4 linked regions of the Caenorhabditis elegans genome follow. The protein of the gene in region 1 purifies or fractionates together with the protein of each later gene. This does not show direct contact. Each region holds a gene or a part of one and is shown in the gene's direction. Other genes may lie near its edges. The genes, in order: noa-1, C44E12.1, apy-1 and arx-7.

The links.
Region 2: the proteins of noa-1 (region 1) and C44E12.1 fractionate together in Caenorhabditis elegans (co-fractionation; one large-scale study listed by BioGRID). This does not show direct contact.
Region 3: the proteins of noa-1 (region 1) and apy-1 fractionate together in Caenorhabditis elegans (co-fractionation; one large-scale study listed by BioGRID). This does not show direct contact.
Region 4: the proteins of noa-1 (region 1) and arx-7 fractionate together in Caenorhabditis elegans (co-fractionation; one large-scale study listed by BioGRID). This does not show direct contact.

Annotation. Positions count from the first base shown.
Region 1 is NC_003280.10:13,537,043-13,543,611, reverse strand, and holds the start of noa-1 (G domain-containing protein), read left to right. Parts: upstream 1-2,733; 5' UTR 2,734-2,790; intron 2,791-3,389; coding exon of another isoform or gene 3,390-3,615; coding exon 3,616-4,709; intron 4,710-6,500; coding exon 6,501-6,569. Other genes in the region: ddl-2 (WASH complex subunit homolog 1), read left to right, coding at 113-777; Y48E1B.17 (PIG-P domain-containing protein), read left to right, coding at 2,541-2,733, 3,390-3,622.
Region 2 is NC_003284.9:7,593,706-7,600,805, forward strand, and holds C44E12.1 (Peptidase M20 dimerization domain-containing protein), read left to right. Parts: upstream 1-3,221; 5' UTR 3,222-3,252; coding exon 3,253-3,331; intron 3,332-3,375; coding exon 3,376-3,498; intron 3,499-4,322; coding exon 4,323-4,427; intron 4,428-4,840; coding exon 4,841-4,959; intron 4,960-5,003; coding exon 5,004-5,096; intron 5,097-5,490; coding exon 5,491-5,761; intron 5,762-5,810; coding exon 5,811-6,076; 3' UTR 6,077-6,119; downstream 6,120-7,100. Other genes in the region: A disintegrin and metalloproteinase with thrombospondin motifs adt-2, read left to right, coding at 1-92, 937-1,088; twk-17 (Potassium channel domain-containing protein), read right to left, coding at 6,660-6,761, 6,985-7,011.
Region 3 is NC_003284.9:7,567,641-7,573,412, reverse strand, and holds apy-1 (Apyrase apy-1), read left to right. Parts: upstream 1-3,690; 5' UTR 3,691-3,692; coding exon 3,693-3,803; intron 3,804-3,849; coding exon 3,850-3,993; intron 3,994-4,109; coding exon 4,110-4,174; intron 4,175-4,242; coding exon 4,243-4,357; intron 4,358-4,431; coding exon 4,432-4,950; intron 4,951-5,031; coding exon 5,032-5,145; 3' UTR 5,146-5,272; downstream 5,273-5,772. Other genes in the region: pcyt-1 (Putative choline-phosphate cytidylyltransferase), read right to left, coding at 1,037-1,056; Zinc finger protein unc-98, read left to right, coding at 79-189, 420-488, 1,278-1,412, 1,455-1,637, 2,441-2,773; vps-52 (Vacuolar protein sorting-associated protein 52 homolog), read right to left, coding at 5,418-5,564, 5,617-5,735. UniProt on the Caenorhabditis elegans protein: Hydrolyzes UDP and to a lesser extent GDP. By preventing the accumulation of NDP, may promote the reglucosylation of incompletely folded glycoproteins in the endoplasmic reticulum following the unfolded protein response.
Region 4 is NC_003279.8:3,067,560-3,072,622, reverse strand, and holds arx-7 (Actin-related protein 2/3 complex subunit 5), read left to right. Parts: upstream 1-2,472; 5' UTR 2,473-2,482; coding exon 2,483-2,567; intron 2,568-2,651; coding exon 2,652-2,773; intron 2,774-2,875; coding exon 2,876-3,127; 3' UTR 3,128-3,298; downstream 3,299-5,063. Other genes in the region: M01B12.4 (Ensconsin), read left to right, coding at 352-384; pign-1 (GPI ethanolamine phosphate transferase 1), read right to left, coding at 3,373-3,594, 4,401-4,693, 4,744-4,885.

The DNA of each region.
Region 1 (6,569 bases):
AAACTCGGGAATGTTAGGGGAAAATTTCCTTTGGAAAATTTCGTTAAAAAAATTTGAAATACCAAAATTTTCAGAGAAAAATCAAAAATCTTTTAAAAAATCCAAATTCCAGGCCACGCCCACGATTTCACTCTCCGCGACCCGGAAATCGATGAGGATCGGCTTCTAGACATCCTTCCAGCAGATGATCAGATTCCTGAAGCATCGGAGCCCACTGAAGCTGAAGCTGATGCTCCGACGACGTTCATTCTTCCACCACCACCACCACCGATGAAGCTTGATCCTTCTCCTCAGCCAGCTGCAACTCCAGTAGAGATCACAGAGATTCCTCCGATCATCTCACCTCCAGCACCACCACCGCCACCTCCACCACCGCCACCTCCACCTCCACCGCAGACCCCATCAGCAAGCTCCTCCGTAACCTTCAGCCCCACGAAATCCGTCGACGGAGGCCGTTCAGACTTGATGGCTGCGATCCGAGCAGCCGGTGGAGCTGGAAATGCGAAACTCAGCAGGATTGCCGAAAAGCCGAAGCGGAAGGGGAAATTCGATGGGATTCTTGAGTCGTCGGCTCTTCTCGGAGCATCGGAAACGCCGAGAAATTCAGCACCAGCTCCAGACGGCGGTGGTGGTGGTGGAGACTTGATGTCGGCATTGTCGAAGGCACTGGATGCACGAAGGAAGGCGATCAATGGGAAAGTGGAAGCCCAGCCGCCGGCCAAGGTTTCATCCACGATTCCGGCTCCACCGAATTTTGATGATGAGGAATGGGACTGAAATGGTTGATGGAAAATGACGGAAATTTTTGAAAAAAAACTGATTTTTTCTGCCTGAAATTGTAAAAAAATTGGAAAAAATCCGTTAAAAACTATGGGAATTCACGAATTTTTATTGAAAAAAAAACGTGAAATTTCAGAAAAAAAAAACAGATTTTTTTCGCCTAAAATTGTTTAAAAATTGGAAAAAATCCGTTAAAAATTATGGAAATTCCATGAAAAAAATTTTATTGAAAAAATCGAGAAATTTCTGTAAAAAACGGATTTTTCTGCCTGAATTTGTTTAAAAAATTGGAAAAAATGATGCAAATTCCACGAATTTTTATTGAAAAAATCGAGAAATTTCCGTCTAAAATTGATTAAATATATTCTAAAAAATTAAATTTTTCGAAGGAAAAACTAAATTTATATTATGAAAATTAGCTTCAAATGACGGAAATTCAAATTTCTAGGTTGAAAAATTTTGCAGATTAACGGAAAATTTCAGTTAAAAAATTCCGATTTTTTTCCAAGAATTTTCTCAGTTTGAAATTAACTTTTTTTTATTTTAAAAATGCCGAAAAACGTAAAAATTTCAGTTTTTTATTGGGCTTTTCCCAAATTTTAAATCGTAAAAACTGATGGAAATTCACATATTTTTATTGGAAAATTCTAGAAATCTCTGAAAAAAAAAACTGATTTTTTCGATTTTTTCTGCCTGAAATTGTGAAAAAAAATTGGAAAAAATCCGTTAAAAATGATGGAAAAAAATTCCATGAAATTCCATGAATTTTTGTTGAAAAATTCGAGAAATTTCCAGGAAATTTCCAATTTTTCGACTTTTTTTTTGAATTTTTTCAGGTTAAAATTGAAATTTTCGGTGGAATTCTATCAAAAAAATCGGGAAATAATTTTTTTCATCGCTAAAAAAAGTTGAAACAATTTATTTTTTTGACAATTTTTTCTTCAAAACCTCCCGAAATTTTTTTCCGATTTTTTAAATAATTAAATCTAAATTTTTCTATTTTTTAAGCCTTTTTTCACCATTTTCAGCTCCCAAAACTCTCGTTTTTCCCTATTTTTTCAAAATTTTAAAATTATATTTTTGCTCCCCTACTTGCCTGCCTGCCTGCCTACCTTTTTTCTGTGATTTTTCCATATTTTTTTCACTTTTTTTTCTGTGATTTTTTATCAATTTCCTTCCACCCGCTCACTTGCCCCAATCGTTGTTTGTAGATTTTTCTTATCGAATACGGTTAGAATAGTTATATATTTGTAAAAATTGTCGTTTTTTTCAAAATCTCGGGAAATTTTAGATTTTTTTTTGTATAAATTAAACTGGCCTCTATTTTTTTTCTGAAATTTTTTAATTTTTTTTTCGAAATTTTGCGTTGAAAATCGCTGGAATTACTTGATTTTTTAACTAAAATTTTTTTTTGAAATTTCCTAAAAACTGGAATTCATTGGAATTTTTTTTTTCAATATTTGGAATTCGAAAATTTTATTTTAAATTTAAAAAAATTCGATTTTTCAAATTTTTTTGTGAAATTTTTTTTTCAAATTCTTGAAGTTTTGACACCTTTTTTTTGAATTTTGATGGTGAAAAAATTAAAAAAGTTTTTTTTAATTTCCTAAAAAACTAGAATTTATTTTTTAAAAAAAAAATTGGTATTAGAAAAAACAATTTATTTCGAATTTTAAAATATTTTCTGAAAAACGCTTTTTTTCGATTTTCTATATATATATTATTTAAAATTTCCTCAATTTTTCAGATCTTTCCGGCGGATGACCTCCACCGAATCTTCCTCTACAACCAAAAAAACTCCAAAAACCCCACTACCATCTGAAGAAATCCATCTCCCAGGACCCCATCCGGCTCGTGGAATCTACGGATTTGCTCTCTACATCGTCTCCTGGACACTTTTTGTGATCTACCTGATTTGGGCGATCACGCCGGTCCCGATTTTGTATCGATTGGGTACGGCGGAGAAATTGGGAAAAAAATTCACAGGATTTTTGAATTTTGAAAGAAAAAGTTTGCTTAATTTCTAAAATGAAAAAAATAAAATCATAGTAGCGGCGAGACCTAAAATTCGTAATAAAATTTAAAAAAAAAAAATCAAAAAATTCGGTATTTTTCAATAATTTAGGCTATTTTTTTTTAGGCTTTAAGCTTAGGCTTAGGCTTAGGCTTTAGGCTTAGGCTTTAGGCTTACGCTTAGGCTTAGGCTCAGGTTTAGGCTTAGGCTTAAGCATATGTTTGGCGTCAGTGGCGAGCGTTAGCTATTTAGGTTAGGCTTAGGCTTGGACATTAGGCTTAGGCTTCAGGCTTCAGGCTTAGGAAATTTTTGAAATTCCACAATTTTTTTATTTTTCGTTTTTCGGGGAAAAACCAAATTTTTCCGATTTTCACAACAAAAATCCGTTCTTTCCGTTATTTTCGCAAAAAAATCCTTTTATTTTTTTTTGAAAAAACGCCCTAAATTTTAGCAATTTTTCAACACAAAAATTATGATAAAAAAACCCGAATTTTTGGTTTTTTTTTCTCTAAAAAAAATGGCCAAATTGCATCTTATAACCAGTTAGACCCAAAAAAAAACAAACTTTTTCCCGAAAATTCCCTTCTTTTTCCAGGAATCACGTACATCCCATCAAAACTCTGGGCTCTCGCAATCGGAATCTTCTTCCCGACGGCCGCCTGCCTCTACGTCACCGTAATTTTTCTGATCAACTGCTGGAACTTTTACGGAATCTTTGATAACGTTCAGGAGGTCACCAACGATTTCGGCGAACGCTCGAAATCCAATTCAATCGATAGTTTGAGCAGCAGCTCTACGGAGAGCCCGAAAAAAGCGAAAAAATGCTAAGATCCTGTGGAATCCGATACCTGAGCACACGTCGGGACATCCAGAAGACGCTGGACGCGGTGAAGCGTCTGAAGATCAACCGAACCGCCCAAGTCGGCGAGATTCACCGAAGATGGTCGGAATTTGAACGGGAGCAGTTGAATTCGGGGGATCTTCGGGATCCCGGTGCTTCTAGATATTCGACAGAGTCAATGCTCGGCGAGATGATGCTCAGCCAGGAGCCCAGCTATCAGAAGATTCTGGAGAAGAGGGCTCCGCCGAAGGTTGAAGCTGTGAAGGATCGGGGAGATCAGGGAGAAGCTGCTAGTTTCCCATTGAAGTCGGTTTCAGTTGGAGCTGAAGCTTCAAAAGCTCAGGGCTCCGAAGCTGAAGCTGAAGGATCCACCGAAGGTTCCTCAGACCGAGGCTTCTACGTTGAAGCTGACGTCTTTGTCGACGAATACGTGGCGGGAAGCTCTCTAGACCTGGACCCCGGCGACAGGATGGTAGCCACCCGGGAATACTTTGGCGGTGATGATGCTGTAGAGCACATTTCCTTCCAAAGACCCGGGCAGAGGGCTGAAGGGCTTCAAGAAGGATCAGGGAAGGATCAGGATCTATCGGATGATCTGAGCTCCGAACCTGGCATGATCGGAACTGTCGATGAGGAGATCCCGGCGAGCTCGCGAAAATGCACGGGGTGCGGAGCAAATTTCCACTGTAAAGATAGCTCCCTGCCGGGATTTGTGCCTCTGGAGATTTTGGAGAAGATTGACAGAAGATCTGTAGATCAGAGCCTCTGCAAGCGGTGTCACCTGCTCCAGGAGCACAATTTTCTGCTCAATGTCAATGTATGCGATGTGGACTACACTCGAATGATGGGCGAGCTTAAGAAGCAGCCCGAGTCGCTTGTGGTGCTTGTCGTTGATGTTACGGATCTTCCCGGAAGCATCTACCCGAGGCTTGCGTCGGTTGTTGGAAGCCGTCGGCCGATGATTGTGGTGGGGAATAAGGTGGACTTGTTGCCGCCTGACGCTCGGACGGGTTATATGTGGAGATTTAAGAAGACGGTGGAGAGAGCTGTCGAGAAGGCTGGATTGTTGGAGAAGTACGCGGGATTTTTAGTTTCGGTTTGATCTACGTAGATCTACGAAAAAGAAATTTCGAAAAAATTGGAAAAAAATTTAACTTAATTTTAATTTTCGTAAAAACTGTATATTGTAAATATAAAAAAGCGAATTTTTTTTTTGGAATTCAATATTCAAATTATTTTTTTAAAGCTACACATATCGTAAAAATTTGGCAAAAAACTAAAAAAAAATTAAGGGGTGTCTCATTTCGTCTTGATCTACGTTGATCTACAAAAAATGCGGGAGAAGAGACGCAGAGTTCTCAACGTGCAGACGTCACATTTTTTTGGGCAAAAAATTCCCGCTCATTTTTTGTAGATCAAACCGTAATGGGACACACAGCCTGTGGCACCACAAATCTGAAAATATTAAAATTTCCAGCCTTTTTCAGAAAATCTCTGGTTGTTTTTTAAATCACGGAAAATTTCTGAAATTTTCAAATAATTTTCAATGTCTGACAATTTCTGAAAATTAAAGATTTTCTTTCCTAAAAAAAATGTTTTTAAGCCTAAACTTTTTTCTGGGGAATTTCCATGTTTTTTCCTTTAAAATAAAAAGTGTTTTTTTATGTCAAAAATAACTGAAATTTTCTGGAAAATGTTGATTTTTTATTAATAATTTCAGCAGATTTTTCCAAAAAAAAAAAATTTCGGATTAGGTTGAAAATTATTGGAAAATACGGCAATTTCCCAAAAAAAAATATTTTTTGCGAATTTATCTGGAAAAAATACAATATTTGAATTTTTCTGATTTTTCTAAGACTTATTCGAATTTAGAAAAAAAAATTTAGAAAAAAATTTATCTGGAATTTTTCAGAAAAAACAATTTTTTTTGGAAAATCAGACAATTTTCGCAAAAAAAAATTTTTTCGCTGAATTTTGCCGATTAATTTTGGAATTTTAAATAAAATTCAAAATTGTTCCAAAAAAAATTGCTTTTTTTTTGGAAAATATCAGACAAAATTCGAGAAAAAACTTAATTTTTTGTGTAACTTAAAAACTTCAAGAAATGGTATTTAAATTTATTGAATATTTTAAGAAAATTCCGGAACAAGTTTATCTGGAAATTTCTTGGTTTTTTTAATTCAAAATAATTTGAAAAAAAAGTTTGGAAATTTTAATCAATCTTTTAAAAAAATTCTAAACGAATTTTTTAAAGTTATTGATTTTATTTCAAATTCAGAATAATTCTGTAATGTCAAAATTAATTTTTAAAAGAATTTAATTTTAAATTTAAATTTAAAAATAAATAAAGTTTCGAAAAAAAAATTTTTTTTTCAAAAATATCTGAAATTTTTGTAAGAAAAAAGACAAAAATGTTTTTATTTTTGAAAAAAAAATTGTTTTTTTTGTGAATTTTGCCAAATAATTTTGGAAATTTATTTAAAAAAATTAAAGTTTTTTTCGAATTTATCTGAACTTTTTCAGGAAAATAATGTTTTTCTTGAAAAATCAAATTTTGGAATTAAAAAAAAAATAATTTTTCGAATTTATTTGATTTTTTTTTTTTGGAAAATATCAGACAAATTTAGAAAAAAAGCTTACTTTTTTGTAAGCAAATTTAAAAAAAAACGCATATAATTTTTTTTTTTTAATTCCAGAAAAGAAAAATTATAATTGTATAAGAATTATTTAATTCACAGAAAAAAAACCATAATAATTTTGTAATTTCATATTAAATTAAAATTTTCAAATATATAATACAGAAAATATTTCGAAAAAAAAAATCAAAAAAAAAACGTCCCAAAAAAGCCGTTTAAAAATTTCCAGCTTCCACATCCTCCACACAGCGTTGGTCAGTGCCAAGACAGGATACGGAATCGAGGAGCTCATCACTGA
Region 2 (7,100 bases), on another chromosome or scaffold:
GACGTGTCGCACTGGAAATTGTCCTGGAAATTACAAAGAATCAGCGATTTGCAACGATCGAGATTGTGAAAACAAAAATGCTGCATGGGGAGGTAATATTTTATCTTGATTTCAAATGTTGAATTTCAAACAATTCAGATAATGAGATCACAATTTAACCTAGTTACTATTTGCAATTAACATACTAATTTTCATCGTAAGTTGACAGTCATAAATCCTTATTTGTTCCCTATTTTCCTTCCCACCTTGTCCAGACATCCTTATCTTCAGTTATTGTAAATATGTTGAGAATCCTTTTTTAAACCATATAATATCACTGACCAAACGTTTGCAAACGGTGTTTTGATCTAAGTGTTGTCAGTTTCAATCACTTCCCGCCACTTTCTTCTTTATGAGCGGCAGATTCGTTTCTTTTGCATCAAATCAAAAGAAATGAGAATTATGATGATCTGATCCAAATTGACTTGATACCCAAACCATAGCGAACCATTGACTTGTTCATTTTCTTGATTAGTATCTTCTGTAAAACCGAAAAAGTCGCAAAACCTGCGAAACGACGTACTGTAGATTTATAGTCGTTCTGTTAAAAAGACTTCAATCATGGTGAGAGATTGCGGCAGAAACGTGGGACGACCTAACCTAGAATCTCATTATTTTTCGGAATTCGCGGGAATAACCTCTGGTGTGGGGGTGGGTCACGTGAATATTGAAGGATCAGGAAGGATGCAACTTGTAAATGATAGAGAAACGGGAACACACCCAAACAAAAAGTGTCCGATGCGTACATTGAAACATATTTTTAAAAAATTGTTGGGGTCAGGCAAACTTGATCAAATACAAATTATACAAAACGCTCATGGTGTAATACGTTCCTCCTTATGTTATTCCACGATGTACACATAAAACCGAAAAAAAACATAATATTTATTTTTTCAGGATGGGGATACTGGTCATCGTGTAGTGAAACATGTGGCGACGGTGTTCGTAAACGTGTAAGAAAGTGCTATGGAAGTGGTAACTGCGACGGTCAACAATACGAAAAGCAATACTGTAATTTGCGTGTTTGCGACTTCCGAAGAAAGTTTTAAAATCGAAAGGGAAACAAATTATACGATCTTTTCCAAAAGTCTGATCGAATAATTTTAATAACACGTTTCTTGTCTTCTCCTCTTTAATGTTGTATTTATTGTCTTTTTTCTCACTCTCTCTCACACTCTTTGCTCTTTTCACTGGCTCAACCCATCTATCACCTTTCCATGTAAATACAACATCCTTCATTTGTCGTTGCTCATTTGCTTTGTCTCCTCTTCCTGAACCTGATCCCTTTTAGTTATCTATGTCACGTTACTTGCAATCGGTACTTTTCATCATTCCTTCCAATCATCATCATCGTTTTATTTTTTTTTTGCTGTTTCTTTTCACTTATTTTTTGTCGAGATATAGGTATTGTTCCCTGAGTGTTCTACTTGTTAGACCATCACTGGTCGCCTCATAACTACGGGTTTTGAAATTTAATAAAAGTATTTTCATCTGAAAATTTTAAAATTATAGAACTGAGATTTCACATAGAACATTGTCACACCATTGAGTTTTTTCTTTAGATATATTGACACGAATTGATTTTCTCAATACGTATATTTGTATTTTGTAACGTTATCCGTTTCTCTGTGTTGCAACAGTCTATGTGATAATGAATTAATTCGAATGATAATCTGAATTGTTGCTGTTCATTGTATGATCGTTTGAATGGAAAGCAAAGGCACACTGTAAACTTAATTTCAAAAATATTTTCAATGGTTCAACTATGATTAACTACATATAAAAACTCTTGAATTTTCCATGATAAAATACGTTGGGATTAGTGCTTCAGTATTGTGTGAGTGAACGAGACGCAGACGATATAAGAAATACGAAGTTGATTGTTCTTTCGCGGTACTCGATCTCTGTCCGCTGTTCTTTCTAAAACGGAGCAAACGCATAATTAGGGTTTCCAAAATTGCGCGAATTTAGTACCCAAAAGAAAAGTGAGAGCAAAATTTTTTTATCATGCGATAATGAAAAGTTGAAAAAGTTGACAAGCGTATGTGTGGGTTGGCGCAATCTATGTAGATTGAATAGAGGAGAGAAAACATTCTGACTCCTCGTGAAGACTGTAGTTACAAAATATCAAAAATTCCTCGTTCTCGGCAGTTTTTGTTCAACAGGCAAGATGTTACTTTTTATTAAAAAATAATGAGACAGTGTTTCTATGTTGTTTTGTGAAAAATCTATGTGAACGTGCATTTTCCTACATCCAATCTTACTAATAGTTTAGACCACAGTATGTACGATGCTTCTGTTGGAAGATAGTGTTTTCATTTTTTCAATGATATGGAAAGCACGAAGAATATCAAGTATATTATATTGAAAATTGTTTATGTGTTTGCATGAAATCAATCAAAAATTGCCCCCCGTCCGAAGATAAGAGGGAACAACAGTTTTTATTACTTTCGTTTCCAACGGAAATGCCCTACTTTTGCGGTCGTATAATATAACAATAGGCGTCGTGACAGTTTTATGAAGACATACTATCAGTCGATCACATGAGGTTGCGTGATATTGTGATTTTCAATTTTTGTTTTCATATCTATATCAGGTACTTTTCATTTTCTACCCCGCATTTTTAAAAGAATATTCAAAACATTGAATTATTCGAATTCAATTCTCACGTGAATGTTCATTTTAATATTATTTTCATTTTTAGGCTTAGAAAACAAAATTACTAAGCCTAAAATACACATAAAGTTCACGTTTTTATTAAAGAAAATGTGCAGAAAAAATGCGGGGTAGAAAAGGAAAAATACCCTATTAATATCACACACATTTATCATTATTTTTCGCTACTTTCAACAGGCATTAATTTTCATTTTAAATATTGCGTATTGCCTGCGAACGTTTGTTAAAACATGCTCTGGCCTATCTGACTAGTTTACAAATTTTTTAACGATGTGGTTCCATTTTGAAAACCTGTTATAATCAAACTGTTCAATCTCATCTCTACACTTCCTGTGATATTCCTATTCAATTTCCATGGTCCAGAAATGACCTTGAAAAGACCGGCGTCGACAAAACGGTTTCTTGAAAACAGTAGCCTTTCTTTGTGAGAAGATCTGAAGACAGAAGTCAGATCTCATTGAACACTTATCTTCGCGATGATGTTAACAAAACATTATTTCTTGCAGCATCCGTGTCTATTAGCCAGTAACGTGAACGATGACAATCAAATGGGAAGTGGAAGTTGAAAAGCGACTCCTTGAGTACATGAGCCACTCGTCCACTACGGGAAATGAAGGTTCAACAATTAGAATCGTCTTCATAATTTTAGAGAATTTTTAGCTGCATTTGCTGATGTTGTTGCAAAAGATCTTGAAGAGAACGGATGGACAGTGTATAAACAGAGCATTCCCAATTCAGACCGGTACAACATTTATGCAACATTTCGGAATTCTGACCCAAAACGTGAGATTTAAAACTACTGGTTATTAGATATATTGCTGGATGGGAGAAATATTGGGTATTTTTGGAAACCACTCTTAGTTCTAAAATGAAAAAAGACCAAATATCATAGCATACCTTTAAAAAAAGCCCATTAATGTGATTTACAGTTTAAATATAACTCAGTTTTCTCCTATTACAACTTTTAAAGTCGACCAAAAAAAGTGTATCTTTTACGAGTTTTGATTAACTCCGACTACATTTGGATTGAACCTGTATTAACGCTCAAAAACATCAGAAAAATCTTACAATTTTTGGAGTTTTTATACTTTATGATATTTGATAAAAATAAACAGGAGAGAATACAAAATTTACACTGCCAAAACATAATTAATAAGACTGATTTAGAATTTTTAGAAAAATTTAATAATTTTTCAACAAGAATTAGATTTTTTTTCGCATCAATCGAACAGTTTACCATATTTTTGTACTAACTTTCGGTTAAAAAAAATTAATAGTCATTTCAATAATCATAAGTGTTTTTGTACGGTTGCCAATAATAGTTTCCGGCTCAGATGTAGATGCCGTAGTTTCAATCTTCCCGATTTTCCGTTTTTTTTTTCTGAAAAGCGAGACGCTTCAGTTTTTTTTTGATCATGTTCTATCTATCCTTTGACATATCACTTTTAGTTCAATGTAGGACTTTCAATTCAGTCAACCCATTTTTTGCCAAAAAAAACATAACGATCAAAAATGTTTTGTTGCTTTTTCTAATGAAAAAAAAAACACTCTGTTAACTAAGTATGCACTTGAAAATAAACACAATCAAAAACTCTTATTCATTTCAGATGTCAAAGTGCTACTAAACACTCACTTGGACACAGTTCCTCCGTACTTTCCACCAACCCAGGACGAACAGAACATTTATGGAAACGGGTCGAACGATGCTAAAGGTTTTATTCAGACGCTTCACTTTTTTTCTTGTGTCTTACCGGAAATGACCTTCGGTCACTTGATTCTTGTTCCCAAGTGTTCTGCAATGTTGCGAGAAAAACTGTTTTAATACCCCTCAATAGCAGCGTGCATCCAATCGTATAACAGTAGATGACACCTGTTTTACGCGAGTGAACTTTGTTCAATTCATTTTATTTGGCGGTAGACATACACACTTGGACAAAAGTTTTGCAGAGATGTCCAAAATTTTCGCGATTGTCCATTACCGTCGGTATAAGTGAGATTGATCATAGCATGAAAAACCTTTTCCAAAAGGGGATAATTACCAAAACAACACGACCCTTGTACTTTGAAAGATTGAAAAAAATCCCTGCAAATTGAGGGAAAAAGTGACAAGACAAAGCTGTTACAGGACAATTGGCTGCGATGGTCACGGCTGCCACTATTATTTCAAAGACAGATGAGGATGTGGCAAGGGCATTGGGATTACTTTTTGTGGTTGGCGAAGAATTCGACCATATTGGAATGATTGTAAGGGGTTTGCTAGTAACTCTAGGTTTAAGATAAAATTCCAGGAAGCAAACAAGTTAGAAATCCTACCTGAATATCTTTTGGTTGGTGAGCCAACGGAGTTGAAGTTCGGGACAATTCAAAAGGGAGCTCTGAAAGTGAGCAGTAATTTATGTTAAATTATATTTGCTTTTTTAATTTGTTATAAAAAATTATAGACATTAAGTCACACAACCACATGTTGCTTCTATTTTCTACCGTATCTGTTTCAAAATTTAATTTAAGTTAGATTCCGAATATGTTTTTTTAAGGATTAGAAATAACTAGTTTTTTTTCTCAAAAAATTACGACTTACTAAAAAATCTTCCAGATCATTCTTTGCCTTGAGACATCCTAGCGCATGAAAAATATGCCAAAACGATTGATACTGGGGAATCTAACATTGTAAATTTTATCTTTTTTTGTATTAAATGATATCCTAGAATATCTAATTGACCATTCGCCATGAACTTAGCACTATGCGCAAAATAATTTTCATCGTACCATGCTCAGGTGAAATTGACCGTCACTGGCCAAGCAGGACATTCGGGCTACCCTAACTCCGGTTCAAGTGCTATTCACAAAATGATAGAAGTTCTTCATGATGTGCAACTTGCTAAATGGCCATGCGACGCAACCAACGGAGCTACCACGTATAACATTGGGAAAATCTCTGGTGGTCAAGCTTTGAACGCATGGGCGGCAAACTGTGAAGCAGACATTTTCTTCCGTGTAGTAACTTCTGTGAAGGATATTCAAAATCAGCTTTTAGCATTGGTCAATGGTAATGAAATCAGATCTGGAAAATCATTTTTCATGTTTTTCAATTTCAGGTCGTGCAGAAGTGAGCCTGCTCAGCTTTAATGACCCAGTTATTCTCGACGTTCCTCCAATTGAAGCAGAGCTAGACCACGTTTCATTTAACACAGATATTGCATACTTTGACGCAAGAGATAAGGTGAAAGCGAAGTATCTTTTTGGTGGTGGCTCAATCAAAAATGCTCACTCCAAAAACGAATTCATCCCAAAGGATGAGCTTCATAAGTGCACCGCAACTCTTGTCAAACTAGTGAATCATTTGTATTTGGAACATTATTAACTTTCGGATATGTTTGCAGAAGAATAAATGTAGTTTTTCATTCAATGGATGTTATTCTTGTTAGATAATTTTAATTAAAATCGCGAAAAAAATTGAAAAAAAAGAACAAGAAAAGAGAAAATAGCAAAGTGATAAAATATTCAAAAAACATATAGAAAAGATGAAAACCCTATAAGATCACAATTGGAAATGAGAAAGCTGGAAAAAGAAAGGATACTGTTATCTGATCAACTTTGAAGGAGATTCTTTTTAGGCTAAAATTCACAATCATCAGAGAAAAAAAAACTGAAACGGAAAAAGTCTAAAGAACAATTTAGGGAAATTTTTAAATATCAGAAACATAAATCACCAACGTTTTTTGAAAGATTTTTAAGTGGACAGTTCCTACTATAAACAGCGATACGACAGTAGATAGTAAAGTTCAAAATTTTACGACTGAACGGTGGAACCAACTTGGCTAAAATTAAAACACAAAAACGTTCTAAAGATTAAATAACGGTAAGCAAAAAAAACCTGATATCAAAAGTGGCATACCCAGTAGAACGGGGGGAATTTGTTTGAAAGTGGGAACTCGGAAACAAAATCAGAAAAAGAGCATCGGGTCGCTGGAGGACATTTTGTGAGACAGACGAGATGGGGACATTGGTGTTTTACCTCCAGAGACATCATCCATGTATTGTGCATACTGAAATAAAATATGATAACGTTTGATCAAATCTGCATAACCGGCAAAAACAATCGAGATAACGTCTGCGGGTGCAAAATTATGAGTTTTCACAGCTAGAAGTTTTAAATATGAAAATAAGCGTCAATTCGTTTCAAAGTATGAACTGAAAATGTTCATTCCAGATTTAAAAAATAATTATAACAATTGTACACCAGACTTTAGCTTTTTGAAACCAACTTACTTGTTCTGCTAGGGAAAACTCATTTTTCTGAAAATTTTTTGAATTTCTCAATTGAAAATAACATTATTGTGCACAAAAACACACAAATTTGTGCGTGCTCTCATACAAATATAATT
Region 3 (5,772 bases), on another chromosome or scaffold:
AACCGAGAGATGACGGAAAAACCGGAGAAAAACGCGGGGGTGTCTGTATTGCGAAATGATTAAAAAAATACCTTCCAGATGGTTCATGGTCTAGAAACCTTCGGCATCAATGGAGAATCGTCAGAAAATGGAAATAAGGAAAAGCCCAAAGAGATCATGAAAGTTGTTGCCCCAACAGTTGAAGCATATGTGAGTTTGGTAAAATTTAAAAAAAAGAATTTCAGAGATTGAAATGTTTGATAGGTTTTAAGGCAAATTTTTTTAAATGTTTTTAAGATTGGATTCATACTGACATTTTTCAACCCTTGGATACAAGTGAAAAAATGTTGAATTATCTGAATAGTGTCTGAAAACGCTTAAATACTTTAAAACAGCGCCATCCTAATTTGATTTTAAAAGCATCAAGTAAATTATTGTAGGTCGGAAGTTCAAGTGCTCAAACTCCAACAAAATCGAGTGGCGGTGCTTTGGATGGCAGTGATCAACAGGTTTGTTTTATTGTTTTTATGAAGTGTGTGTTTTTGTGCATTTTTTGTTGAATAGTTCGTGCTTTGAATAATTTTTAATTAAAAAAACATTGATTAGGAATGTAGTCTATAGGTTTGTACAGGCAAAATTTCCGGAGAAAATGAAACTATATTTTTTGAGTTGTTTGAGAGAAATTGTTAATTTTTTGCTGAATTTTAGATAGTTTAGAAAAGGTTTTATTTTCTAATTTTATAATTAGCATACTAGTAAAAACTTATTTGCCAGAATACACAAAGACAAACTCAGTTCTAATTTAATTTAAATTTAGCCCATTGTCGAAGTAACCATGTCCTGTACATTTGTTGGAAGAGAAAGCTCAGCAGGATGCTAAGAAGAAAAAAAAACAAATTATGATTTTTGTTGTTTGTGATTTTATTTTTCTCTTATCATTTTCAAATACTAACTTGGAATATAATTTCTTGCTGCTCCTTATGCTTTTTTCCTTCAACCTATCCATTTCCATTCTTCTCCTTTCCCAAGCTAATTCACATGGGTATTGTTGACTTACTCTTGTTTGTGAATAAACATTTTGCTGTTGTTGTTGAAGTTGATGCGCTCACTTTCAGCACACGAACCAAATGTGCGGAATATAGATGTGAGCATTGACAGCTTGAATGTGAAAGAATGAGGGAAATGGGAATAAAAGGAAGAAAAATATAAGATGAAGGAAAAACTGAAGAAGGGAGGGAATGAAGAAGGCGTTAAATGAAAAAGAGACTCTTTTAGTCGATGAAAAGTGATTATTGCAGGAAGTGCGTCAGGACGGAACTAGTGTGCAAAAAGATGACAACGGATTTGTATTCTACAAGTGTCGTTTCTGCGGACTCACATTCAACTTCATGAACACTCTCCGTGCACACGAGAGAATACATGACGTTTCACAGGTTTTCATTCGCTGGATTACTTATAGAAACTCTTTGTTTCAGCCATATGTCTGTGGAAAATGCGGAGACTCATTTGAATTTGCTTGCCAACTGGAATATCATGCCGCTCAGCACTCAGAAATTGACGGGTACAAGTGTGAATGCGGAAGGACGTTCTTTTCTTACACGGAAATGTTATATCACAAGCACACGGACGATCCACTCGAATTGATAGGTGCTCCAGAGGTTTGTCTAATTGAGAAATCTGAGAAATAATAAATTTACTAGATTTTACTAATCAGTAGAGCTTTTTGAAACAAAATCTGAATTACGAACTTCTCGGAAAAAAATCAACAGAATCTAGCTATGGCTGTTTTAATGTTTGATTTTTTATTCTTCAGTTCTTTCGACTCAAAATCTATCAAAACCTTTTCATCCAGCCATTCGCTTTTCAATTTTGTATTTGGTTTTCATAGTCCTTGATGTGAGAAAATTGTGAACAAAAACTTTGTGTGTCTTGGCTTTCTGACGTAAAAAAAATATTTTTCTCAACAAAAAAAAATTGCTGATAGCCTGTGAGAGGGTGCAATTTGATACGACTGCACTTACTTCTTGCATCACAACTGTTAAACAGATGGAATTTCAGTGCAAAAAAAAGAAAACGTTATGAAACAGAAGTTATGAAACCGAAGAAAGTTCCAAATTTAAAAACATGTTTTGGTCGTTTACCTTACGTTGTTTTGTTAATGAAGATACGTTTCAAGCAATTAGGGACCAAAAATTACCACAATTTGCTACCTAAGTCTTTGTGACTGGGAAAAATTGAAACAACTCGAGTTTTTGACTGAAATTTGGGTATTGCCTTTTCAAAATTTTGAACCCCCATAAACAAGTTTTTAAGTAATTTTTGAGAAGTAGTATTTCAAATTTCGTTCGTTTGGTTTTGTTAAAAATCACACGGAAAAAAAGCCGAAACCGTTTTTTTACTTTAACAAGGAATACATTTGTGAGAAGAATGAAGATTACCAATATAATTTGAAATACTTCAGACAACCACAATAAAAGTAAGCAAGAAGCGAGTCCTACCGGTCTCCGAGCAAGATCTTCCACAGCCAGCTTTCGTTACTGAAGGATACGAGCCGAAGCATCCACTCCGAGTGTACAACGACGTTCGTTCAAAACCATACATTTGTGAATATTGTTCGAAAAGCTACTCTGACAGTCGTGGTCTTGCATATCACATGTACAGTCATCGTGGAGAGAAGTACTTCAATCCTCGAGCATCTCGTTATATGATGGGAAGGGAAGGAGTTGGGTACACTGATTCCAGAAGCTACTATTTATTCCCAAGAACAAGCGGATACGTGACTCCGCGATTCTGAGCAACCCCTGAGTATTTAAAATTTTTCTAATTTAGTATTTAAATCTATCCAGATCTTGTAAAATATATATATATTTCAACATCGGCTAGCTTTAACAATATTTGTCCTTCAAAATGTATATTCGATATGGTTCTTTCATATAACTCATATTTCTTTCTTTCAACTAAATCAACGTTTTTCTTTAGTGTTATCGTTTTCTCATTTCTTGTCATTTTGTCTTTTCCTCACATTTTTAAGACGCTCGTTATAAAGACGGTCAGCAGCAGAAACTCGTTTTGTGTTCAACATAAACTACAATTGACTACAAAGCACAAAAATCGTGTGTTTCCAACGCACTCAGACACACTCTATAAATACTGTTCTCGTCATGTCTTGTTGGTATTTTCTTCTTTCCCTGAAATATCGATTCCTGGTCAATCGTACAATTGGGACCATGTTAAGCGGGAAAGACATTGACCGCTAGCACAAATGTTGTCCGGCTCTCTCACAATCAATCTTTCTTCTGTGATGTGTTACGACAACCCACAACCGATTTTTTGATAGCAAAAATGATAAGATGATGATAGCGAGACAGCTCAATTGTTCGTTGTTCTAGAAGTTGTACGTTTTTTTAAATTTATTTTGCATCATTTTGAATTCATTATTTAAAAATGTATAAAATTGTTTAATTAACGGTTCTCGAAATATTTTGCCACTTCACAGCCACGATATCTCACTCAATAAAGCAAATGCAATTTGGGACACGCACTTGTGTTCGTTATTAATATCGAGTCCCCATTGAAAAAACTAGGCCACGCGGCCGTGAAGTACTCTCGGAAAACTACACCATTTTTTATTTTTTTATTCTACTTATATTTTCTCAAATCTCTTACTTTCAATTAATGCTTATAATTAAGACTCACAAAAATAATTTTTAGGTATGACACAAGAAAGTAACTCAAACTTTTTCAACTTCCTTCTTTTCGGGTTTGTGACCGCTATTGCCTTTTATTCGGGTACCCAATTCAACAAATCTAGCGAACAGGAAGAGGTAACTCTTTACATTTTCAGCTGATTGCGCACATATCCATTTACAGCACATCAACCATGCTAACTTGTATTCGGTAAAGAAGTTTGATGATGGAGCAAAAGAATACTCAATAATGTTGATCACCGATTTGGATCATGACAGCAAAGACGGGAAGAAGTGGAAAAGTTTGGTCTCTCGTGGATTTTTGAAGGTGAGAAGGACGGCAAGAAACTAATGCATTATGCTCAGCTTGACCAATATGATTTTTATAAAATGCAACTTGCTTTTTTCGAATCGCTATAGGAAATTTTCAAATTTATATTTCAGGTTTCTGCAGACCACAAGCATGCCGATATTCATTTTGACAAAGACTCGGAGTACTATGTTGACACGTAAGTTTACAAAATGTGTTTTTATAGATTTTTTTGTTTTGACTTCATTACTAAAATCATCATTTTAGAAATATTGCCGCCGGTGGACGCGCTATGGAGTTGTCTGACCTTGCCGTCTTCAATGGTAAACTGTACTCAATTGACGATAGAACAGGTCTTATTTATCAAATTAGTGACAAGAAGGTGAGTGATGAGTGGTTAAACAATGATATTTGTGTAGTGGATTGATTTTTAAAAAATATAATATTGTTTTGAAGGCACTTCCCTGGGTATTACTGAACGATGGGCCAGGAAACGTCGTGAAGGGATTTAAAGGAGAATGGATCACTGTTAAGGATACCGAATTGATTGTTGGAGGATTGGGAAAAGAATGGACGACCACTGACGGAGTTTATGTGAACGATCACCCAATGTGGGTGAAGCATGTCTCTGCTCACGGAGCCGTTCATCACGAAAACTGGAAGGATGTATATATCCGCGTTCGTAGAGCTGCTGGGATCGAATATCCCGGATACATGATTCACGAAGCTGTTCAATGGTCTGCAATTCACAGAAAATGGTTCTTCCTTCCACGTAGAATGTCAAATGAGAAGTATTCTGAGGCGGAGGACGAGAACCGCGGAACAAACGTTCTTGTGATTGGAAATGAAGAGTTGACTGATTTTGAGGTTGTGCGAGTAGGATCGGAGAATAACAAATCCAGAGGGTTTGCTGCTTTCCAATTTGTGCCAAACACTCATCACCAGCTCATCGTTGCCATCAAGTCGGAGGAAAAGGTAAGTAACAGGTTTTATCTACACAATTTTAAAAACAAAATCCGTTAATCTCAATGCTCGGTTTATAAAATTGTATTCCAGGATGGAAAACCAGTAGCAAGTTATGCAAGTGTTTTCGACATTCATGGTAATGTTATTCTTGACGAATATCTTCTTCATGGTCCATACAAATACGAAGGAATTGCATTTGCCTAATCACTTCAATTAATGTATTTTTGTCTCAATTCCCACCTTCCAGTCAGGTCCAAATCTGTGTTCTCGATATTATGTGATTTTTGTCAAATACTATGTAATGGTTATTTAAATAAAATAAATATATAAACATTTTATTCAACATTTTTTGCATGCATAAAGCTGCCAGTGGGTAAAAATATATATAAAAAAATACTCAAGTAAGTGGGAATCAATAAATTATTTAATTTACAAAGTCTACACGGGAAAATAAAATAACATTGGCAATATTTTTCTTAATATGCTGGTTTGAACCGTTTGATTTCGAGCATCACTTGATGAACGTTGACTAACTGGGAACACACGGGATTTTTAGCAAATACGTCATGGGACAGAATCTTTGTGAATCTATTGATATACTGAACGTACTTTGTGAAGATTGTCTGAAATCATCTAGTTAAAACTGAAATTCGGCTCTAGGAAATAAATTTTAACCTGTAAAATGGTGGTTCCCAGGCTGAAGTTAGTGAAAAGTTGTATGCATTCTGAATTAATACTGTCCACTGCAGGTCTCCACTTTGCATTGAAGTTTGCTACCACCGTTCCAACTTTGTCTGAAATTAAAATATTAGAGAATAGAAAATTATATAT
Region 4 (5,063 bases), on another chromosome or scaffold:
TTTAAAAATAGCAAACATTTTTTGTAAAAAAATCACATTTTTTCCAAAAAACTTTTTAAAAAAAAATTATTTTCAAAAAAACCAAAAAACTTTTTGAAAAACAAATTTTTTCCAACAAAAAAAACAAATTTTTCGAAAACCGAAAAAATATTTTTTCCAAAACAAAAATTTTCCAATTTTCAAATTAGAAAAACCACAATTTTCTACAAAAAAAATTAATGTTTCCAATTTTTCCAAAAAAAAAATTTCTAAAAGAAACTAATTTTTCAAGAAAGTCGAATTTATCCGAGAAATCAAAAAAAAAATCAATTTCCAATTGTTCTCGCATTTAACAAATTTTCAATTTTCCAGACATCTGAATCGACGGGCGGTGAAATCTACTAAAAATCCATCACAGTTCATCATCATCATCAACTCTCCAGTTTTCATTCATTGCTTACGGGTTTCTCTTCATTACGGTAATAAGTTTTCCGACTAAAATTCAGTTTTTTTTTTCAAAATACACGAAAACTCTTTTGTTTTGAAAATCCGAAAATCCATTGGTTCTAGTTTTAAATTCAAAAATTCAAACGGCAAATTTTGCCGCCAGAGACGCCAATTCGATTAAAAACAGTTTTTTAAAAGTGTTTTTGGATTTTTTTTTTCGAAAAAAAAATTGCAATTTTTTTTGGGTATTTTGGAAAATTTTTTAGATTTTTAAAAAGTTTGTTACAAATTTTTTGCTCTTTTTTTGAGGAATTTTTTCACTTTAAAATTCGGTATCAGGAGCGTGTCATTTTTGTGCCATTTTTCGAAGTTTTTCGGTGAAAATCGAAAAATCGAAAAAAATGTTCAGAAAATTTACCATAAAATATGATTTTTTATCTAATTTTGTTTATATTGGTAAGAAAAAACATTAAAATTTCTTCTAAAAAGAAGGATAATGGCCAAAATATTAAGCGAATTTTTTTCGAAAATCGGAAAATCGAAAAATCGAAAAACTAACATTTTCGATTTTTTGAAAAAAAAATCGAAAAACTGACACCCTTGATCAGGAGCATAAATAGGGTCTATAAAAAATAAAATTAAATATTTTAATCCAATCTCAATAATTTCCAGATCTTGCCCCATCCAAAAGTGCATTTCGACAGTTTTTGTTCCAGTCTCAATTCAGCCGCCTTCATGTCAACTCGCTTTATTCTCCATTGAAATCCTCTTCCTCACCCACCTCCTGTACACTATTCTGTACTCTCTCTCTCTCTTTCCATTTCCCCAATTATCTTGAATATGCTCGTATTATATCGCATCCATGTAAAATAGATAACTATTGCTCATCATCTTTTCCCCATGTTTTTTTTGGTGTATTTGCTCTTCTGTTTTGTTCTGGTTTTGGATTTTTTTAATTCAAAAAATTCGATTTTTTCTTCTCGGGAAAGGTGAGTTTTCTAGTTTAAAGCCCTTCCCAATCAGAGAATAATCTATTTCTTCTGCTCCCCCATACGGTTCTTTATCGCAAAAAGAACAGTTTTTCTCGGAGATCGGTCCTCTTCTTGAACGGTCTTGAAGGGCCGTTTTAGTCTCATCTCAACCTTCCAAGAAGGGTACGGAGCTTTTTTTCAAATTTTTATTATATATGACTATGGAAAAAGTGCATAAATCGTTCTGTTCACCAAATCTACTCTTTATTGAAAAAAAACACACACAATTTAGCAGATTTTCAGCGGGTTTTCTCACAAAATTGAGGCTTTTTCGTGTTTTTGGCGATAAAAATTGTCGCTTTTAACCGGAAAAGTTGTAAAAAACGCACACATTTTTCAAGAAAAAACTTAGAATTTTTGCCAACTAATGTAATTTTTAAAATTTCCTCTGAAAAATTCAAAATTCCAGCTTCAAAAATTGGAAATTTAAAGTTTTCGCTCGGAAAATTAACAGTTTTGTAAAATTTTCAAATTTTTTAGCTCCAAAATATGGGGATTTACTAAAAAATTGATGTATTTGTTTCAAAAATTGGAAATTTGGAAAAATTCGAAAAAACCCCAATTTTTGAAGGTTTTGCTTGAAAATCATAGAAATTAATTTCAGGAGCTTCTAGAAATAATGGCATCCAAGAATAAATAGCGTTTATTTGGTACGAATATTCCCAAAACGCTGTTTCTCGCCAATTTTTCAGAGTTTTCGACGAAAATGGCGATAAAAGTCCCAAAATGGAGGAGTTTTCGATAAAATTAAATGAATCTAATCCCGAATAATTGTTTCTCACTTTTTTTCAAAAGGAAAATTCACATTAAAACACTCTTTTTTTCGAGATATTTATTAATTTTAATAAAACCAAAAAAAAAAAAAAAAAATTAACTACGAAGCTCCGTAATTCCGCATGCGCGTGTTGTTTAGTGCCACTGTGTACTCTTCTCGGACAAGCTAACCGATTTATTTTTCTTTCGCAATTTTCAAATCCACCGCGCCACATTTTCATTTAAAAATCTCTTGTTTCAGATAGGAAAAAATGTCGAAAAACATGCAAAACACCTCGTACCGAAAGCTGGATGTGGACTCTTTCGACCCGGAACAGTACGATGAGAATGACGAGAGTGAGTCATTTGTGTACTTAAGGCGCGCGGAAATTATTGATTTTTCGTGTGCATTTGAATAAATAATTTGTTATTTAATTTTAGCAGTCGATACTCCTGGACTTGGACCCGATGAGCGCGCGGTTCAGGGATTTTTGAGCTCGAATCGGCTTGAGGATGCTCTTCATGCGGCTCTTCTCTCCCCGCCACTTAAAACCAAAGATCAGGTGAGATTTAATAAGCTTATTTGGGCTTAGGCATAGGCCTAGGCCTAGGTTTTGGCTTAAGCTGGCCAGGGAAGAGACAGAAAGAAAAATTTTCAATTTCAGAACGTAAAAGACCGCGCCACACAGCTCGTCACAAAAGTTCTGCAATCCTTCAAAAACGCGGAAATCGAGGCGACTGTCCAGAAGCTTTCGATAGAAGAAAGTGATATTCTCATGAAATACGTCTACAAATCAATGGAAATCGGCGCCGACGCGGCCGTCTGTCAGTCTTTGCTCGCGTGGCACGCTCAACTCGTCGCAAAATTCGGTCACGGAGCCATTATGCGTGTCTTCTCCGGTCGCCAACGTCTCTGATTTATTCCCGAATCGTTGTGTTTGCTGTGATATTCATTCCCCCATCGCTCTCCACATGTTTCTTGTGAATTTTGAATATTTTTTGTTTCGCCTTAAGCTTTATGATGATATTTATTTTAATTCTTTCTGATATTCGAAAAAGTTTTTGAAAGATAAATTAAAGCACCACGGAATAGTATCTATCACACGATTGAAAATGGCATCACGAATTGAAAAATAACAATTAAAAATCTGAAAAAAATTATTTAAGCAGATTCGTCGTCGGATAACTTCCGGGAAGAGATCGATTCGATTTCCTGGTGATTTCTTTTTCCAGGAAATTTTCGGAATTCAAATGCCATAAGATGACTGGAAATCGAGAGAAGTAGCAGAAGAGCAAGAGAAATGCACATTGAAACGATGAATTGAGAAATGCTCATACCAATATCCAACCAGCTACCCTCATCTCGAAGTTGGTGGAAGAAACACTGAAAATGCACGGGGTTTTAGGCGGAATTAATCTCAAACAAATTTTTACTGAAAAAATCGGGAATTTTTTTATTCGAAATTAAATATGTTGATTAATTTTGATTAAAATATTCAAGTTTTCCAAAAAAATGTTTCAAATTTACCAAAAAAAAATCTTTCTCGCTTTTTCATCTTTTTATCAAAACAAGTTTTTTTTTCGAAAAAAAACATTTTTTAATTTCCGAAAAAAAATATTTTTCCTTTTTTTTGCCGTCGAAAATTTTTTTTCAACTTTTCGTTTTAAAAATTTTCCAAATTTATTTGGGTTTTATTCTCGCTTTTTTACTTTTTAGTATTAAAAAACTTTTTTATCCGATTTTTTCCCAAATAAATTTTGAAAAAAAACAATTTTTTGGTTTTTTTTTTTCAAAAAAAATCCCGCTTTTTCCATTTTCGTGCTTGAAAAATTATTTTTTTGGCCTTTTTTCCGAATTTTTGCAGTTGAAAAGAAATTCGCTTTTTGTTCATAAATTCCGAAAAAAATTTTTTAACGAAATTTTGCTGTCAAAAAGTTTTTTTTTCGTGTTTTCATATTTTTAGATTTTTCGTTCATTTTTGGTTTTTCGGTTATTTCGTTTAAAAAAATTTTCTCGTTTTTTTCGGCAATAAATTCTGAAAACAAGTTTTTTGGTTTTTTCGTTTTTTCGAGAAAAAAATGCTGATTTTCGAATTTGAAAAATTAGTTTTTTGGCTTTTTTCCGGTTTTTCGCAGTCGAAAAAAAAAGTTTTTCGGTTTTTTTTTCACTTTTTTTTCAGCCGTGCTCACCATCGACATAAAATCAGTGAATATCAACGAAAAACAACAGAGTCTTTGAATGGATTCTTGATCAAATCGAACTATGGAAGCAAAAGCCGATGTGACGAGAAGAATCGGAATAAGAAGTTTTAAGATCAACAGAATAGCCATTGTAAATGGGCTGAACACCGAAATGAACAGATTCAAAGTGGATGGATTGAATGAATTGATTGATGCAAAGTTTCCGGTGCCGAAGAGAGGGCACAGGACGAAGGAGACGCAGACGACCGTTCGGCGAAGCTCCACGTATTCTCCGGTTGAAACTGCAAAAAAAATTAAAATTGTTTGATATTTTGAAGTTAATTGAAAGCACTTTTCGTTGAATCAACTTTCAGCTGCAAGAGCTCAACGTCAGAGAGATGTCCGAATTCGAAGCGAACGAATAGAGTTAGGAGAACGAGGAAGATGAGCATGAAGAGGGATTCGTAAGATATTGAAAGCAGGGAGTATGGGACCTGAAATAGTTTTTTTGTTGAAAAATCGACAAAATTTAAAAAAATTTAGATGAAAAATCGAAAATTAGGATTTTTTTTTAGTTGAAAACTTCAATTTTTTTTTTTGATTCTTTTGTCGAAAAATTGCAAATTTTAATTTTTTTCAGTTGAAAAATCTAAAAATTCTAACATTTTGTTG